Astyanax mexicanus: one gene and its partner. Each later gene encodes a partner of the first gene's protein in a complex. Links are inferred from orthologs where the notes say so. Each region holds a gene or a part of one and is shown on either strand. Other genes may lie near its edges.

Region 1 (10,300 bases):
TTTTTAAGTGCTCTCGTTCTTTTCCAGAGCTGTATGTGCAGAACTGAACTTCCTACACAAAAGAAAGAAAAACAGCATTACACCAAAGACTTCCACATTTTATTTTCTTTCATTTCCACACATATAAAAAGTTAAGCATTAAAGTCTATGCTCTACAAATAAAAAAAAAGCTAAATGAAAATGTTTCTGCTCCACTGGGGTAATCCATGGGTGCGACGTTCAGCTGAAAGGAAGAAGAGTCACTCAGGAATATATTTCCATTTTCTATCTTCAAGGGAATGAGTCTTTTCTTTTACACGCTGTCTGCATCTTTGTGCTTTGGGGAAAGTTAGTGCACTACAGAGTTCAGTGGTTCTGCCCTTATGTTGCCGAGATCCAGTGCCGAGTCTGTTTCCTCATCGATCTCACCAATCACGGCCCTGTAACACATGCACAAGTGTTATTGCACTCAATCTCACTTGCTGAAGGAAAAGTCAACCAACAGGAGAAATCAATGGCATTAAAATAAGCAGATAGTGAATATAGCTTTAAGGTACACTACTAAGTTCTCTGGAATATCTGGACTCACGTGAATAGCTCTAAGATGAGCTGGAGTGGTGTTTGAGATCTACAATCAGTTATTTAACATCTATACAACATTTGGCCTCATGCAAGCTCTTAGGGTTGAACACAATCAAATCCTTACAGCAGTTCTGAAGGGCACTTCAGGGGAATGTTTGGCATGTATCCAATCAAAGACTGTATATAAATATTTTGTAAAACAGAAAACATATGTTTATCTGTAAAGAGGTTGTATACAGTTATACACAGATGTTCATATGAGAATAGTGCAAGCTGCTAAAGGAGACATTTTTAAAAGCTGGTATCCGTAAGTTTTGGGATTTAGGGCCCTCTCTGGTGAGAATAGGTAATTGCACTGAGCATGCGGAAGAATCATTTGAAACTGGGCGGGTGTGATGAGGTCTTCTTTCAGAACGAATGAATCCGATTCCAGGTTATGTTCAGTCAGAGCGAGAGAGAGAGAGCGCGCTCAGTCAGAAACTTCACTCCTCCATTTCTGTTGGTTTTACTACGAGTGACTGAGCTACTGAGCTCTGAGTTTCCCCTTCTGAAGTCTCAATTGCTCCATCAGCTGCTTACATTTAGTAAGTATATAAAGATGCATGACATTTTTTAGAATGAATACATTAGGCTTAGCAGTGATGGTCGTTCCAGACTGGTACCATTAGACTAAATATTTTGTCCCTTTTCCACAACAATGGATTAAGGTTACAGGGAGATGAGAAGAAATTGATGCTCAATAAAGCCCTAATTAACATTGCATTTACAGAAGGAAGTTGCACCATGCTGACATTTCCATGGTCTTGTTTCTTTTCTTATTTTGTGTTTTCCTACTGAAAACATCCAGTTTGTTTCAGCAGTGGCTCATCAATTAGTTCATTAGTTGTATCAGGTGTGTTGGAATTAGTGGAAACTGTAAAGCCTGTGGAAATTGGCTTGAGAACCAGTGGTCTAGTCTAAAACCTCAGAAAAAGTAATGATAATTAAAGAAGGAACACCCTCCTTTTCCTTTTTATACCCGTGATTTTAGAGGAGATATTAGATGAACTGTTGTCTACAAACCTTTGAAGATATAAATGAAGAACAAAGCAATGCGGCGGCAACTGCTTTAGTTCATTTTGTCTAAACATCCCCACCCTCTATTAGCCTCTATTCTCCTGCCTTTATTACAGCTTTAGAAAAATGACTGACACCAATGTTCTTTGAGCTATAGCTCTTCCTAATCACCATTTTATAAACAGATTTACTGGAAATCTCTGTTTACCCTTTTGGTGTAGAATAATACCTGCAGATTTAGGGTTAGAGCTATGTAAACACGGGGCAGAGTTCTTTCATTATAAATGACTTACACATTATCTCCTCTAACAATGTACAGTCCCAGCACGACCTGCTCCACTCCCTGGGACGAGCTGAATACACGCTCATGGCTTTCATCTAGAATTAGGTTGATCGTCTGGTCGAAGCCCTTCAGTGTTCCCTGAAAAGGAGAGGAGAATAATAAGTCTGACATTGTCCAAGAGAGATGTACTGACAAATTACTAACACACCCCTCTACCACACACCCTTGCAATCTGCAAACTCTTTAAAGCTGTACATCAGCTTTACGTCACAAGCCTTATGGCTCAGTTTTGGGATTTTCCTCAGACCTGATCTTTACAGGTCATGTTTGTGTGGGTAGGTGACTTTGTCCCTATAATTAGCACTTTCAAGCAACCAGCATGTGCACTTCCAGGTCAACAAAAATGAGGTAATAATTTGTGAGTCATTAACATCAACAAATAACTAACAAGCAGCACAAGCCTTCATAATGACGTAATTCACTTTGAACAACTCTTAGTGTCAAGGAGAGACACATTTCTAATAAATAATAAGCAATATGAGTGAGCAATGATATGAGAATTATATCAGAATTAGAATAAACATATATTTTTTTCAAAGTATATTATATATGCACATAAACAATTCTGTATATTGTACATCAGTATATAAATATAAGTTATTATTGGCAGTTCTGAAGGGGAAGAAGTGAAGAAATCTAAATTAAAAAACATCTTGAATCCACACAGCTTTAAATAGATTAATCTGTGTCACATTAAAGATAAACAAACTGGATTTGCACGACTTCAGTCTGAGACTATCAATCATTCTTTAAATAGACAACATATATTTGTGTGTAAAAAAAATAGTACAGTTGTACACAGTTGTTTATATGAAAATTGTGCAAGCTGCTGCAGGTGACACATTTTAAAGGGAATAAAGAGATTAAAGTTACACAGAGATGAGAAGAAACTGATTTTGACAATAAATGCCTGCATGCGCGTAATTATTTAGTTTGTTGATGTACAGTAATATTACACATGCTTAAGAAAGTCAAAAGATACTAACCACAATCATTCGTCCATCTGATGTAATGATGGCCACAGTTCCTTTAAAGACGAGTTAAGGATGTTTAACAGATGTCAGTTAACAAATTCATATTTATGACAAAATAGAAAGTTTAAGCAAGTTGCAAACTGTGAACAAAAGACCCAGAAAAAAATAACAGCTGGCAAATATAAGGATATTGAGGTCAGAAAGTTGAATGATCACATCACCAATGCTATACCCCTCTAGCCCATGGCTGTCATTAGGTAACCTATGATGTCCCTAGGACATGAGTCAGCAATGGGTGCAACTAAAAATAACTTAATGCATTCATTAGTAAGGGTGTTAAGGGTGTCCACAAACATTAGAACATGGTGTTCACTGACTCTCTTACTCTCTTCTTTCTCCAAATTTCTTTCTTCTTTCTTCCCATCTTTCTTTCCCCCTCTCTATATTTTTTCCTTGTCTACCTCATCTCCCTCTTTCACTCTTTTTTTCTCCAAACTCCTTTCTCCATTCTTCCTCTATATCTTTCTTTCCCTATTATTTTTTTTCCTTTTCTACCACACCTCCATCTTTCACTGACTCGCTTTTTTCTCTTTCTCCATTCTTCCCATACTTCTTTCTTTCCCTCTTTATGTTTTCTTGTCTACCTCATCTGCCAATTTCACTGAATCTCTTCTTTCTCCAAATTTCTTTCTCTTTTCTTCCCATCTTTCTCTCCCTCTCTCTATATTTTTTCCTTGACTACCTCATCTCCCTTTCACTCTCTTTTTTTCTCCAAACACCTTTCTCCATTCTTCCCATACTTCTTTCCCTATTTGTTTTTTCATTTTCTACCTCATCTCCCTTTTTCACTGACACTCTCTCTTTCTCTATTCTTCCCATCTTTCTCTCTTTCCCTCTCTCTATTATTCTTTCATTTTTTTTACTTCATCTCCTATTCACTGACTGTCTTTCTTCAAATTTCTCTTTCTTCACTGCTTCTCTCTAACCTTTTTCCCCTTTTACTATCTATCTATCTATCTATCTATCTATCTATCTATCTATCTATATATCTATCTGTCTCTCCCTCTTTCTCCAACCTTCTTTCTTTCTCTCTATTATTATTTTTCCTTTTCTTCCCATCTGTCTCTCTAAACTTCTTTTCCCATCTATCATCCATCTATCGTTCACATAACGCAACTGCTATTTCGACTGCCTAGCTAACTAGCCTGCTAATAATCTGGGACTATCGTGGCTAAGTTAAGCTAACCTACGTTACATATTGAAGTGAATGAAGCCACAAAAATGCAGAATTAGCAATATTTGATATATAACACACATATTTAGATAGCTAGCGAACCTCGTACGTCTCAAATACTTGTTATAAACAGGCGCCGGCTACCTAACATTAGCGTGCTAGCTAAGATTAGCAGGCTAACTAACATTAGCAGGATAGCTAGCGAAACCCAGTGCTGAACAGCGCTGCAAGCGGTTCAGGAGGCTAGCTAGCAGAGCTAGCTTAGCTTTGCTAATAAAGATGATGTGCTGAGGCGGACTGCGCCAAACTAGCTCCTCTAAGCTAGCGTCGCATTCCTGTGCTAATAAAGAACAGTAACGCGTCTGAACAGTAAAGGATACGGTTGATGTAACTCTCCAGAGCGGTAGACATTTCCACAGGCTTTATTCCAGTTCAGCACAGCTCCTGCTTCTTCATACACAGCGCATGCGCGTCTGCAGCCGCTGATTAAGATCACTGAAGAGACTGTAGTAAAGGATAACAGAGCGGCGGCTGTGAGCTGAGCGCAGTAAACAGTAGGGGGCGCTCTGAGCCTGCGGACTATGGGCTTTCTACCTTTATCAATTCAGCATATGAAGGAATTACTTACCGTAATTAATTACTACCGTGTAAAATGTAATTACAGTCCAGAAGATTGTATTTCTTTTCCTCACTAACATGCAGAGCATGTGCATTTGATCTCTTGACCTCTATATATATATATAAAAAAAAACATAAATGGAGGGCTGTAAACCCCCAGAAAATTCAGTAGTGGGTTCATCCTCTCAAAAAAAAACTTTGGACTTACCTTCTTGTTTAATGTTTTTATTTTTTAGTACATAGTAAAATAATCCTGAAGTCATCTAGACTATGAAGGAACACATAATGAATCAGAAGCCTAAACTATAGCCCAAAATAAATGAGTGTACGACTTAGTATTTTGTTTATAAGTGATTTATTATCAGTATTGCTATTTATCTTATTTATCGTAATATTCATCCCGCTACTGTTTTTTTAAACAAGCCCAATTTGGCTGGAAAACCACAAACCTGGCAACTCTGGAGGCTTGTAACTCTGACGAACTTATACTGTGCAACAGAGGTAACTCTTGCTTTGCCTTTCCTTGGATGTTCCTGATGAGGGCCAGTTTCATCACATTCTTGGGTCGAACAAAAGCTTTGCTTTAAATAAAGGTTGAAGTGATTAATTAATAGAAGGAATGTTAAGAAACGTAAAATGTATAAAAAAATTCTGCTTGGATTTTGAACTCTGTATTTTTTTTCCAAAAATATGATAACCCTCAAATTTTATAGCATGGTATTCCAAACAATATTATACCATTCCGACCTCTTACACAATGTGCTTTCTCATTATATAAGGAACTTAACTACAGAAGTCACATCATTTGTAAAGTGCCTTGTACAACTTTGTGTCACAATTTACAGAAATAAGAAAAAAAATAAATAAATAAAGCAGAAAACCATAAATACATAACCCCAGGCCAAATGGCAGGATAAACTCATTCAAAGCTGGAGGAAAGAAGGAAATCTTTGAAAAGAACCCAGACTGTATAAGGTCACCTTAACACTATATAAAATAAGTTATGCCCAGGTGTGTTGATACAGTCATTGTTGTCCTCAGCAGTAAAACAGCAACAATGAGTCAGACCCATCACACAGTATATACAACATGTGTGGGTACATCAGAATAATGCAGATATGAAGTAGTTTGAAGGTGTGTAGTGCAGCAGATGCTGGAAATGGTGGGTAGGCAGAAATAAATATTGAATAAAATAATTGAAATAAGCTATTTTTTACATGCCACAGTAACACCAGACCTTGAAGGTTGTTCTTTTTTTTTTTAATCACTTTCTCTGATTTTGCTATTTATAGGTACATCGTTGTTTTATTCTATAAACTATGGATTTAGAGTATTTATTTGCAGAAAATGAGAATAAAAATGCAGAGCTTTCAGACCTCAAAAAATGCAAAGAAAACAAGTTCATAATTATAAAGTTTTAAAGGTTCAAATCAATATTTTATGGAATAACCCTGGTTTTGATCACAGTTTTCATGAATCTTGGCATCATGTTCTCCTCCACCAGTCTTACACACTGCTTTTGGTAGAGGTGGGCGATACCGGGAATTTTGGTATCGATCCGATACCAAGTAAACGCAGGGCCAGTATTGCCGATATCGATACTGATACCGATACTTTTTAATATTTAAGCTTTATAGATCCAAATGATCCAAAAACCTAGGATATAATTTCACCAAACATTGTAAGTGATAACAAAATACTTTAGTATCACAATCAACATTTTTTTTAGAAACAATGGAACAGTAACAAAACAAAGTTTAAATATAAAAAAATTCTCCCCTCACTAGACATCTTTTCTAGTTCTTTGTTTCTTTGTTTCTTTTTTTAATAGAATTGTCATTTGGAAAAACAATAAAAACTAAGGAATTGTCTTCCTTTCAGTGCAATTCAAATGCAAGTTTTTCTTAAATAAACAGAGTGTAAAAAAATATCACTCAACACTAATCTCCTGAGGTAGAGGCGTGTCGACTCGAGGAGAGCGCTGAGTGGGCGGGGCCAGGCTGAGCCTACCTGCTGGCTTTGCTGAGCCATGTGACGCATGTGCAGCAACAAGAGACCAGAGAGTAGACTGTGGTGAATCTTGTGCGAAGCAGTCAGTGCGTGCGGCAGAGAAAAAAGCTTGAATATCGATATTTTTACACGAGTATTGCTCAATACCAATACCAGCGTTGGTATCGATATTATCGATATTTGGATCGATCCGCCCACCTCTAGCTTTTGGATAACTTTATGCTTTATACTCCTGGTGTGAAAATTCAAGCAGTTCAGTTTGATTTGATGGTTTGTGATCATCCATCTTCCTCTTGATTTTATTTAGGGTTTCAATTGGGTAAAATCAAAGAAACTCACCATTTTTAAGTGGTCTCTTATTTTTTTCCCAGAGCTATGTATCATATACAATGGTGAAACAGTTGACTCAAGGTTGTCGTTTCACACTTTTAGATTTTGAAAATAATTAATTAGGACTGGAAGTTCTTACATCCATGTTTGATTTCAGTTTTAAGTCGTGCTGTAGTAAATTACCCAACAATAGCATTTGGATAGCAGTTTATACTGTTTTATTCGTCATAATATCATAATAAAAACTGTTGTTTTTTTTTTGAAAAGCAACAAAAATGATCTCCATAGTGCCATATCATATTCTTACATTTTAAAACTTGAGTACTGTATCTACTTAATTTAATATTATAGTTAAGGAAAATACAATTTTATTTTGTTTTATTTTTTCCAACATGTTACATTTAATTTCCCAACATTTTCCTTATTTATATTCTAGTTTCCTGCCTTTGTAGAGGATCTATTCACTTGGAAAAGCCACAAAATGGGTCACTTGACAAGAAGTAGTAAACCTTTTGCATAAGACTGTAATACTGTGCATGATTGTGTAGTAAATTATATATGTACTGTTGAAATCTAACATAAGATTCCTTTACATTAACATAACTGTAATGTTGCTTAAAGCGATTTATTACTTAAATAAATAGACAAATAATAAAAAGAAATATGTGTAAGAAAGATTAAGTGATGATTCATTATGAAAAAGAATGATAAGAAATGTAATTTTGAGGTCACAGTCATTAAAATCTGTGCTTACAGGTACATACACAGTGTGAGTGATGGTAAGAGGTTAATGATTGGTTTTGTTATCAGGAAGTGAACTTCAGTCTTCAGCTGTAGTGGAGGGCTTCTGGTAAACTAAGCCACAGAAACCGGTGAAGACGTGATAAGGAGAATGAAAGCTAAGAAAACATAAACTTTTCCCTCAAAAAATCAGTTTCACTTGGACAGACTCCAGGGCTAAATCAGCCAGGTAAACAAATCAATACGTTATAATCTTTTAAATATAAGGAATAATAATTTAAATAGACATTGTTTCTCACTTTCACTGCCTGGGTTTGATCTTGGTTACCAGTCGTTGGTCTCTAACAACATGAAGGCAGAGGATAAACTTCAGATACTGATATTCCTGTTAATGCTGGTCAATTCCCTGTTTGTGGTAAGAGAGAATATATAATTTATTTTGTATTTATTTATTTTCACTCAGAATCCAGTGTGATTTATTAATTTATATTTATTAGATGACATTTAAAATGCATTAAAATGCAGTATGTGAGATAAATTTAGTGACATAATGAAATATAGTGAAATTTATAGTGAGATATACTTTATCTCATTGTGTTTCTATTAGCTTTTTCTATTTAGTTTATGTTAAAATGATTCTTAAAATACAGTATACTCTCATACTGTATGCGAGATACATTTGTGCTGGGATTTGAACTCAATTTGTTTCTATTAGCCTTTTCTATTTAATTTAGATTTAATAATATGCTCAAAATACAGTATATTGTGATACTGTATGTGAAATGCATTTGTATTAAGATTTAAAGTGAGATATATGTGAAACTCTGTGTGTTTCTATTAGCTTTTTTTCAAATGAAAATATTGTCATTTAGAGCATTTATTTGCAGAAAATGAGAAATGGATGAAATAAAAAAAAGATGCAGAGCTTTTAGACCTCAATTAATGTAAAGAAAGCAAGTTCATATTCCCTCCACCAGTCTTACACACTGCTTTTTGAAAATGTTATGCCACTCCTGATGGCTTGTGATCATCTATCTTCCTCTTGATTATATTCCAGAGGTTTTCAATTTGGTAAAATCAAAGAAATTCAAAGAAAAGTGGTAAATCTAACATGAGATTGCTGTAGATTAACGTTGCTGTAATCTTGCTTAAAATGATTTATGGCTTAAATAAATAGATAATAAAAATAAAGAAATATAGAACAATGTTTTATGAAATGAAATGATTCAATATGTTTCTGTAAGAATATAAATAATAAAGCAGATATTAAGCTGATATAACTTTTATGGTTCTTCCAGCTCATTACACTACATCTAAGTGCCATAAATACAGTACATTTTACCTACCTTCTGCACACCTAACAGACGTCAACACTCTTTACAGATTCTCGGCCTCAGCCTTTTTGGATGTTCTATATGGATCATATTTGACAAAAACAACTTCATAACTGTTTTAAGCACGGGTAAGCCTTGTTTATTTAGTCCTGTTTGGTAATAAGGAGGCTGGAATGTGGTAGTGTTAGTACTGGGTTTTCTCATGCTCAAGAATAAGTGAGTGAATGAGAGCCTGAGGGAGTGTAAGCTGATCGCTATTGGCCGGGTTTGGAAAAGTCACTTTGTGTGTGAGTAAGGCTGTGTTGGTATGAACAACTGCATGCTGGTTCACATCATCATGTTTGTGTGTGGTCACTAATCTCACAGAGGATGAAATCGAGGTGGTGGCTGGAGGGCTGTTTGTCATCGGCCTGGTGATCGTGGGGGTCTCCATGCTGGGCTGTGTCGGGGTCTATCTAGAAAATAGATGTTTCATTGCAGTTGTAAGTATGGTGGTGAAAGGAATTTTAATATACTTGAATAACTTTAATATACTCAATGAAAATACGCATTAAATATACTTTCTTTATATTTCCATTAAATGTATTTTTAGGCAAAATGCTTTAAATTCAATGTTGTGTTGACAGAAAATATATATGTAGTGGCATTAAATTAAAATTAAAATTTAAAGCGCACTTTAGTGTATTTTTTTCCAGTAGCATTAAGGTCAACACAATATGTGCATCAATCAATATGCAAAGTTGTATATGTACAATATAATAAAAATTGTACGTTTAGTATGTATTAAGGCAGGGGTGTCCAAACTTTTTTGTTGGGGGCCAGAAGGAGAAATATATTTGAAGTTACGGGCCACACTCTGTAATAAAACAAATAATGAAATATACCACTTTAAATAATACATTTTCCTGATTATTTCATTTACACACCATTTTACTTGACTTACTATCTTTATCTTTGACAGTGTTGTGTAAACTAAGATTTTTCAAATTGATGTTTCATTTCATGATGTCTCTTAATATTAAACTCCTTAATTACGGCAACTTTTAGACTCTTTGGTCTGTTTTTCTGTGCTAGAAATGCGCACTCTCTCCGCTTTTAG
Region 2 (9,846 bases), on another chromosome or scaffold:
TCACTCGTTTTTCCAAAAAAAAAAAAGATGGCACATTTTGTTTTGTGTTATGTTTAACTACTTTACCACTTTTGAAAGACCAACATAAGACATAATAGATTTACATACCATAAAAAAATAACATTGCAATTTTGTTTTAGTTTTTGTTTATTGCAGGGGGTTATATGTTGATTACAGTAAGTAAGGCATGCAGAAGACGTTTTATACTGGAAAAATACATTTATCTTTTTTTCCTAGATCTTCAAACTTTTAAACTGGTCAATTTGACCCGTAACATAACAGAAGGGTTAACCAATACATTTCTTTTTCATGCCGTCAAGGCAACTTTTCATGACCATACAGCTTAAAAAAATCAATAAATGGACAATAAAACTAAAAATCAACTAAAACTAAAACTAATTATAGTAGGCCTAAAATGAATGATAAAACATGTTGAAACACAATCTTCAACAATAAAATGTATGTCAGATCCTGAGAGCTCCATTGTGTAGGGCTAAATTACTGAACTAACTAACTAGTGCTGATGTATTTTGTTAGCTCAAAATAGATTTTCTTCGTCAATAATCTAAAAAACACAAAGATTTGTAGACCAAATTTCCATGACTTTTCCAACATTTTCTTTTCATATTTGTATTTTTCCAAACTTGATCTAGGCCTGGAAATTGCTATTTTCAAATTCCATGACTTTTCCAGGTTTTTCAAGGCCATACGAACCATTATAGGTATACTATAGGAACAAACATATTGGGACACCTTCTCATTCGTTGTTTCTACTTAAATCAAGGTCTATCTAAAAAAGGCTTTCTACTACTTTTTAAAGCAATCTTGTCTGTGAGAATTTGACTGCATTCAGCAATAAGAGCATTAGGATGGTCAGGATGATGATCAGATAATGATCACCACCACAATTCCTAAGTATACTGACTACGTATCATCCAACCCTACATACTCCCTAACTCTGCAACTCTGTTCAAAAGTATTGTATTAAGTACCATCATTACAGAGAACACAGTTCCACAGCTCAATGCTGGGGGCTTTATTCCCCTCTAGCTCATTCCTGGCATTCTGACTTGGGCAAATAGGTTCTATACGTCTTGCAGTACCTCTGGACTGTACATGCTGCTTGTTCACATTAATCAACAGGTGTAAGGTGTCCCTTGCACAGTTAAGCTACATGTTTGTTTGTTGTTTATGCTACCTACCATTGTTTCCCCTCAGAAACGCATCTCCATACTTGTTCTTCAGCTGGCCATTCACATACTCCTCTGTCTGCTCCACAGCAATGTTCATGTAGCCATCAAGACAAGCGAGGACACCTGCAGAACATCCATAAGGTAAGTTTTAAAGAGGCACCAAACCTCCTGATTTTAGCTGACAGCACCCTCAGCTCAAATTTAAAAAAGGCTAAAAACAAAAATGGGAAGAGTAGTTTGGGAGGGACACTGGGTGATGTATGGGTTTAGAGGTGGGGCAGAAGGGAGAGCTGATTGGCTGAGATGCAGCAGTGTGTCTCTGATAGCAGTGAGATGCAGATGGTTGGATGTCAGCAGGAGGGTATTGTATTACTGATTGACTGATCTGCATGTTGTGAGTGTTTTCGTACCAAAGTACACAGAAACATCATCCTCCCTATTAGTGTGAAAAAGTATGTTTTTTCACAAGTTTTATTGGCTCTTTAAGGCTGGACACTCCTGCTTCTGCACAGGTAATAACAGCTTAAGTGTAGGATCAGTAAAATAATTCCCTTTATTCAAGCTTGTTTTGTAAAAAAATATATATATAAAAATGATCAAATCATAATTTCGAAGCAGCTGTGCAATTTATTTAAAGGTTGTACATGGGTGTTGTGGAGTTCAGTCTTGTGTAAATTGTGGTATTGAAATATCATAATTAAAGGAGAAGCATCATTACTTTATTTCAACCATTATAATCCAGTGCAGTTTACTAAGCCAGTGAAATACCTACTTAGTTATAAATAAATACTGACGGTTTAACACTTTCTGTAACACTACTCTAAGGGTTTCAGTACATTATATATTGTATATTACCATTTCTGTAAAACATATTAAAATACAAGTTTTTAGTCATATTGTCTAACTCTTATGTGTGGGAAACATAAATAAGATCAGTTTAAAAAACAAAAGTAATGTGAGGTTGTCACCAAGACAAGATAAGGATTTTGTCTCCCTCCAATAACAAAATACAACACTTCAGCAATTTATTTAGACTACCAGTGTAAAATATATAAATCTTGAGAAAGCCCATATAATGGAAGAAAAATACATAACAGATGCAGCTTCAGCACACAGCAAATTACAGCAGGAGTTCATTTTCAGCTACTCAAAGCAGCAGTGGTGCTTTTACCTCTGTAATCCACTCCAGAGTTCAGTTTCACCACCACTGGCCTTCCAATGATCTGCTTCAGGAAGTCACTGGGGGTCTGCTTCCGGAGGCTCATTTTGACTAACAGGGAGTGAAAAAGAAAAAAAAGAGAGTGAATTATAAATGAAGAATGAATAATAATGAGCTGACGAGCTGCAAGTCTGCATTTCAATCTCACACTAATCACATGTTTAATATTTCTGATGTTGCAGTAATTCATGCGAACTCATTTTTTATACCCACACAAAAGTATCTGTACCTTGTTAATCCTTTTTTTTTCTTTTCAGCTTGAACACAATGCTCATCTTTACACTGTTAGACTTATTAAAAAACAACTATTATAAACTATTAAAGAGCATTTCCTAATAGACACACAAAATGGTTGTACAGATTAAGTGGTTACTGTATCAAATCCATGCTAGGCTGTTGCCACGTGATTGCCATGTTATTCCAGGTGGTTTCTATGATATTTCTAGCTAGTTACTGTGGTATCCAAAGTAGTTGTTAAGGTGTTGTTATGAGGTTTCACCTGACTGCAAGTATACAGTGAAGTGAAATGACAATAAAGCAACATAGGACTCTCAATGAAATACATAAAGTGCAATGTGCAAACATAAACCTAGAACATAAGACTAGAAAGAAATAGCAATATACATGAAATATACATATCAGTTAGACAGTTAACAGATGGGACAGTGCAGTGCTGGCACAGAGAGTGTGGTGAGGATAAGTTAAAGAGACAGCTATGCAACTTATACAGCATGTAGGTACATGCATCTGCTTATAACTTACAGTGAAATAAATAATTATTTGATTCCTTGCTGATTCCCCACTGACAAAAGACATCTACAATTTTAAGTGTAGGTTCATTTTAACAATAAAATATATAAAACATAAAATCCAGAAAAATCACATTGTATAAATGATATACATTGATATGCATTTTACAGATACCATTTTTATTATTTATTATTTCTTTCACTGTGAAAGATAGAATTAGAATCATAGGCTGTTCATGTCTTTGTCAGTAAGCAAACCTACAAAAACAGCAAGGGATCAAATAATTATTTGCCTCACTGTATATAAACAGTAGTTTGAGATACACAGTACTAGTTGTAGAATTAGAGCTGGGCAATAGATCAATATTTTATCATATCTTGACACTTTCTTATTGAATAAACAAGATGCTTTAATAAGCATACTGAGTACACCATCAATATTTGACGATTATTAATGTACTTAAAATCAGCTTGATTGTTGGTTCATTTACTGATTTTGGACTTGATATATCACAGTGGACAAACACCAGCAGATGACCATCAGTAAAGTTTACATTTTATTAGGAAAATCAAGGAAGTCTGGAGGAAGAGTGGAGAGACACACAGTGCATGCTGCTTGAGGTCTAGTGTGAAGTTTCCACCAATCAGTGATGATTTGGAGAGACATCATGTCATCTGCTGGTGTTTCTCGGAAAATCTTACAGCCATTCATGCTTGCCTTTGCTGACAACATTTATGGAGATGCAGATTTCATTTTCCAGCAGGACTTGGCACACTGCCCACACTGCCAAAAATAAGTCTTATATAATATTCTAATTTTCTGAGATATTGATTTTTGGGTTTTCATTGGCTGTAAGTCATAATCAACAACAGTAACACTTATATAATATATGAGTTTCTCATTCTGAACTGAATTAACTTACTGAAATAAAGTAAAATTGTTTTTTGAGATTCACTAGTATAGTAACGTTACTGTGTTTAGCTAAAACTGTATAACAAAATACTGTATAAATACTGTAAAAAAAACTCGGGCAGTTCTGTCTGCTAAAACCACGTAAATCTCACATATCTACAGTAAAAGGTTCAATTTGTGCAGTTAGGCTAGATTATCTAGTTTAGTTAAACCAGTGAATTCTACAGTATTATCTAGCAGTTAGCCACGTTAGCCTAGCCTAGCTACACATCTAACTGCCTCCAAACCCGCATAATAAACAAACCTCCGCTATAAACCCGCACTATTACTGTAACTACAGCGATTTATTCTTATAAACTGCGGGTTTATATCCCGCACTGAATCCATAACCCGCCGGATTATACTCACCTTATTTTAGCGCAGGTTAGCTTAGCTGCTGCTTCAACAACGTTCTCTGCACGTCCCGGTGTTGATGGCGCTCCACCAATCAGCAGCCGAGCTTAGTACAGAACTACGGGTGCCGCTGAGGGACAGTTCGCCTTCACGACAAAGGGCTTTTATATTATATTATATTATATTATATTATATTATATTATATTATATTATATTATATTATATTATATTATATTATATTATATTATATTATATTATATTATATTATATTATATTATATTATATTATATTATATTATATTATATTATATTATATTATATTATATTATATTATATTATTAAAATAAAAATATGTAATGTTTCACTTTTTACAGATGAAAAATATGTAAAAAAAAAAAAAAGAAAAAATAAACAATAAATTAATTAAAAATGCAAAACTGGAGATACAAGTATTTGATTTGCAGGACATCAAAATTGTAATATTATACAATTATAATACAGTTATAATAAGTCGTAATATTGTTATATTTTAAAAAAATCTGATTCAGTAAAAAATAATAAAATCAATTAATTAATTAAAATAATACAAAATACTACTGAATATTGAACAAGATGAACTGCAGTCCCTTGATAATTGTGAGTTTCACATTAGTGATAGTTACAAACAACCTCCCACCATGAATTGTTCATGTTCATATCAAATCAAATCAAATTTATTTGTATAGCGCTGGTGTTGGCACAAAGCAGCTTTACAGAAATGTGATCAAAGGACAAAGAATCAGGCAAAACATTAAACATAGAAAATACAGAACACAGGACCCCCAGTGAGCGCGGAGGCAAGGAAAAACTCCCTCAGAGCTGCAGGAGGAGGAAGAAACCTTGGGAGGACCAAGACTCACATTTAAGGGGTGACCATCCTACCACTGGTCAAACGGCTTTTAAATTAAAATATAAAAAGTCTTTATACATCCACATAGGTTTTATATATTCTGGAGTATATGTAAGGATGTAATCTGTAGTGGAGAGTAAGATTGATGATGAGCAGCTGATCTGTGGTGGGTGATGGAGAAGAGCTGACTTCAGAAATTTCCATCAGTCTGGCCGGACAGGGGACATGAGAGCCCGAGGGTCCAACATCCATCGGTATTGGGTCAGACAGGTGGGCAGTCAGTAACTCGGAGGAAGGCAGAGAGATGGAATTAGTTTTACTGGATTTATGTAAAACAGAAAATATAAAACATAAAACTCAGATCTGAATAAACTAACTAAAGGGAGAGAGCCAGAAGGTAACATAGACACGGAGCCTCCCTGAAACATCAGCATCCACCCACTCCACCGTCCACAAACCTGAGTGACCGTGTGCAGTGGGAGAACAACAGCACCAGCATCTCAGTTTACCCACAATTCCCTCTGTCCATGAACCCCTGAATCTGCAGCCTTATCTAAAAGGAGAAACATTAATTACCAAAAGCTAAATAAACAAGTAAGTTTTCAATCTAGACTTCATATTTAATAGTTTTTACATTTAACTTTTTTACATATTTCCATGTAAAAATAAAGATTTATGCTGCAGTTGATTTGAACCAAGTAAGAAATTGCAAATACCAGACAGCAAAATATTGACATTAAATCAATATTATTTATTTATTCAATATAACTGTATTGATCTCTGATATCAAAATGAATTTATTTGTGCATGTTGATTCAACATTAATTTAGTATTATTGTTTTATAATAATGGTTTGTATTACATTTTACTTACATTATATATGCATATCTTGTTTGTGTTCTATTAGTATAGTCTATATAATGTGGTCTTGCAGTGTAGAAAAGGACATTTAAATAATAATTATTAATAATCTTATTATTAATAGAGTATAAGAGATCAACCTTTTAAAACCTTTAAATTAATGTTGATTTAATTACAGAATTTGAACACTAACCAATGCCTATCAAAGTTAACATACATAACATACTACACAGTGCAGTATCATCATTCCATCCAGAGATGCAATCTTCTCATTTTCAGTTTCAGAGCATCAGTATGGTTCTGAAGCTACTCTTTAAGGGTAAAATTGCTACATAATATTGCTTTCAACAGTTCAACCTTTTTGTCAATACTATATTGAACTGCTTGTGCTTAGAGTTTACAAAAGAAACTGTTACAAGTTAGGACTGTACAAATGTAATGGTGATCAGTACACTGCAAAAAAATAAAAATGAAGCCAGAATCTTCCGCCGTTTTGGCGATTCAGAGACCAGAGTCTGCGCAGTAGAGACCAGAGTAGGGAGAAAGGCTGTTGAGAGCTCCTACTCATTTAAATAACCCCGCCCCTGAGGGCTGCCTCGCGGTCACAGACTGCAGAGCGGGGCGGAGCGGAGCTGACGGTCTGTTATTGGTCCCGCCCATAACCAGCCCTTTTACCATAACCACACCTTTTTTGAATAGAGCCGAATAAAGTTTCAAAAACCGAATTCTGTGGGGATATAAAAAATTGACAATATAAGCAGAGGCTACACTAGCTGCTGCATTTAAATAATGGAGGTAGAATTAGAGTATATTAGAAAAAAAACGTGATTGAAAGTTGTCTGCTTTGCCATTGAAACCTATGGGGATGGGTGGGGTTACACAGCTTTCTGCAGCCGAACAGCAGGGGGCGCCCGACCTGTGGTGGCTTCACTTTTAAGAGACGATGCTCTGTCCAGCTATATACAGTCTATGATATTTACAATTATGGCATTTAGCTGATGCTCTTATCCAGAGCGACTTACAAGCTTGTTCCTATTACAGAGGTGGGCCAATGTAGTGTTAGGAGTCTAGCCCAGGGACTCTTATTGGTGTAGCACAGCATTCAGTCACCCAGGCAGATAGTGGTGTTATCCACTGCGCCACACCAACCATACTTGTCTTTCTCTTGTAAGTCGTGTAAGATTCTTTGGCTTATTTTAGGACTTATGATCATAATCAGTCTTACTTAGAATTTAAACTGAAAATAAGCCAAAACTGACATTTTGTGAGTGCTTATTTTAGGAACTCTTACTAAGAAAAATTTGTTTACCACTTTGGCTGTTTCTTTGCTTAATTTAAACATATACAACTCTTATTTAACTATATTTTCCAATTCATTTTTTTTTTGCAATGTTTTATCCAATGTTATTCAGCAGCCCCTTAAGCATTGTTGGTCAAGCTCACACTTGCATTGATTATTATGGTATTATGGTATTATCATCTCTTTTTCTTCTACCGCTCTGTCCTAAGAACTTGTCGGAGTGAAGGCTGAGTTAAGAGGAGCCGTGGAAGGGAGGATGGATGTAGGTGGAGGATAAACAGTGAGGAGAGAGAGCAGGGCTGGAGAGCAGTGTGCGCTGCTGCTTTCAGGCAGAGCGAGGCAGGAACCTGAGAGGCAGAATCATAAAGCACGTCTGGCGCATCCAGACAGTTTGCTTGTTAGCGGGGCATGGCGAGCCCTGCGGAGGCTAGAGGTTAATTTGGTATCTGGCGCCGTGTTAAACTAAGGTCAGCGCTACAAGTCCTTAAGTCATAAACAAGTGTGGTTAAGAACCGCGTACACACCTAGGCACAGGTTAATGAATATTCAATGAACGTTTTTTTTTTTTCCTCTCTCTTTCTTTCTTCCCCTCGTCGCTTCCCTCGGTCCGTGTCCGGAAGGGGCTTGGAGGAAGGGAAGCCATTCGGAGGCTTTAACGCCTGCCCTTAATCAAAGCGATTGTTGTGTGTTATATACCGGCTGCTTTCTGAAGGTCCAGCAGGAGAAAAACAGCAGGATTGATAATAATGGAGGGGTAGTACGAGCTACTGTCATGATGTTGTGAGGTTGTGAGCTGAGCGATACAAATACACACACACACATACACACACACACACATACATACATGCACACACACACAAAGAGTGCCCACACACACATACACGCTTGTACACACTCGTACACACTCGTACACATACACGATATTGACCTTCCTGGTGTACTGCAGCTCATTCTTGACTTTACTGGACAGGAGCCAAGAGCCAGGCTTGTTAAGTGATACTGAATGAAAACACAATGGAGCCGTGGAGACACAACTTGGGTTTCACGAGCTTTTTCCTCTACGCCATTGTGCCAGTTGCCTGGAGAGGCGATGAGAATGTTTCCCGCAGCCTCTGTGCGCAGGAGAAGAAGACGTTTTAACCTTATTGACCTGTCCTTCTGGATCGGCGCTGCTCTGCGGCACCACGTTTTCTCTTTCATGATGAAATGAATAAAGCGATTGGTGGCTCTGCGGCTTTCTCGCGCCGCCGGGTGTGGGTGGGCCTCATGCAAATACAAAACTGATTTGCGAAAGACAAAAGGCGGCGCAGACCGTTCGAGCGCGCTGCGAGCGGGCGACCCTTGGACGAGTGCCCTGAGCCTTGACCGATGCGAAAGCTGTAACTCAACAGTAATAGCCGCCCGGAGAGGGCAGATGGGACTGTTTTTCGGGGCCTGGCTCGGAGATACCGGGGGGTGCTCAGATGGACAGTGGCACAGTTGATTTGCTGGTACAACCTGCTTCACCTTTCCAAGCCCCTGAAGACCTGAGAGGGAGGGGAGGCGAAATGAAAAGATTACAGTGGGAGCTATGGCAGGGTTAGAGAGGAGGAGCGTAGAGAGTGTAGGAGCTGCTGAGGAGCGGGGGAAAAAAAAAACACAAAAAAAAAGAAAACAGGGGGCGGGGGTAACCCTTGCCTGCCGCAGGCACATTCGCTGGGAAGAAGAAGAAGACGGAAGGGAGGCAGGCATGGAGAGATGGACGGATGGCGGGGAGAGTCTAGACTGAGCTGACCTTCGCGGGCGAGGGCTTTCTCTCCGGGGTCAGCCTGGATATGGAGGGAGGGGGGGTATAATGGAAAAACCTCGAGGGAGTTTTCAAATGAAAACCAGATTGGCTGCCGGCGTGTACTTTCTCTCCTTTCTCTCCCGCCCCCACCCTCCCCCCATCCGCCCTCTCCCTAATCCCCGCACTGGATGGAGGTAATAGCTTAGAAATGATGGTGGATGGAGGCGGGGGGGGGGGGGGGGGGCGTCGCCTTGATCAAAAAAATGAACAGCGCAGCCTCGCTCGCCTCAACTAACACCCAGATCCAGCAAGGCCTAGCCTATAACCGAGCGAAGATAGCTCGCGCGGTTATGGACTGCAGCCAGAATGCGATTCCAAGTCTCTGGCTGTGGCCTCTAGCCCTGTGTCAAATATGTGTCTGATGCGAATTTGTATCCAGGCCTTATTTCTATTTGAAAAGGGATCGCGTAGATATGTGAGAAGCTGAGCCACGTTATTCTGTCTTACATCGGCCTGACGTCATTGACTTAAAGGACCTGAATACCCTGTTGTGCCAAGAGTC

What was found.
Region 2: lsm8 (region 1) and lsm6 share a complex: the UniProt entries of both Homo sapiens proteins name them as parts of the precatalytic spliceosome. The link is inferred for Astyanax mexicanus from reciprocal best matches to the Homo sapiens genes LSM8 and LSM6.

Annotation. Positions count from the first base shown.
Region 1 is NC_064409.1:6,668,182-6,678,481, reverse strand, and holds lsm8 (LSM8 homolog, U6 small nuclear RNA associated), read right to left. Parts: upstream 4,693-10,300; 5' UTR 4,580-4,692; coding exon 4,549-4,579; intron 2,988-4,548; coding exon 2,947-2,987; intron 2,039-2,946; coding exon 1,911-2,038; intron 420-1,910; coding exon 329-419; 3' UTR 78-328; downstream 1-77. Other genes in the region: si:ch73-139j3.4 (CD82 antigen), read left to right, coding at 8,217-8,282, 9,251-9,329, 9,568-9,683. UniProt on the Homo sapiens protein: Plays a role in pre-mRNA splicing as component of the U4/U6-U5 tri-snRNP complex that is involved in spliceosome assembly, and as component of the precatalytic spliceosome (spliceosome B complex).
Region 2 is NC_064414.1:49,786,317-49,796,162, reverse strand, and holds the start of lsm6 (U6 snRNA-associated Sm-like protein LSm6), read right to left. Parts: upstream 4,602-9,846; 5' UTR 4,483-4,601; intron 2,464-4,482; 5' UTR 2,459-2,463; coding exon 2,365-2,458; intron 1,317-2,364; coding exon 1,203-1,316; intron 1-1,202. UniProt on the Homo sapiens protein: Plays a role in pre-mRNA splicing as component of the U4/U6-U5 tri-snRNP complex that is involved in spliceosome assembly, and as component of the precatalytic spliceosome (spliceosome B complex).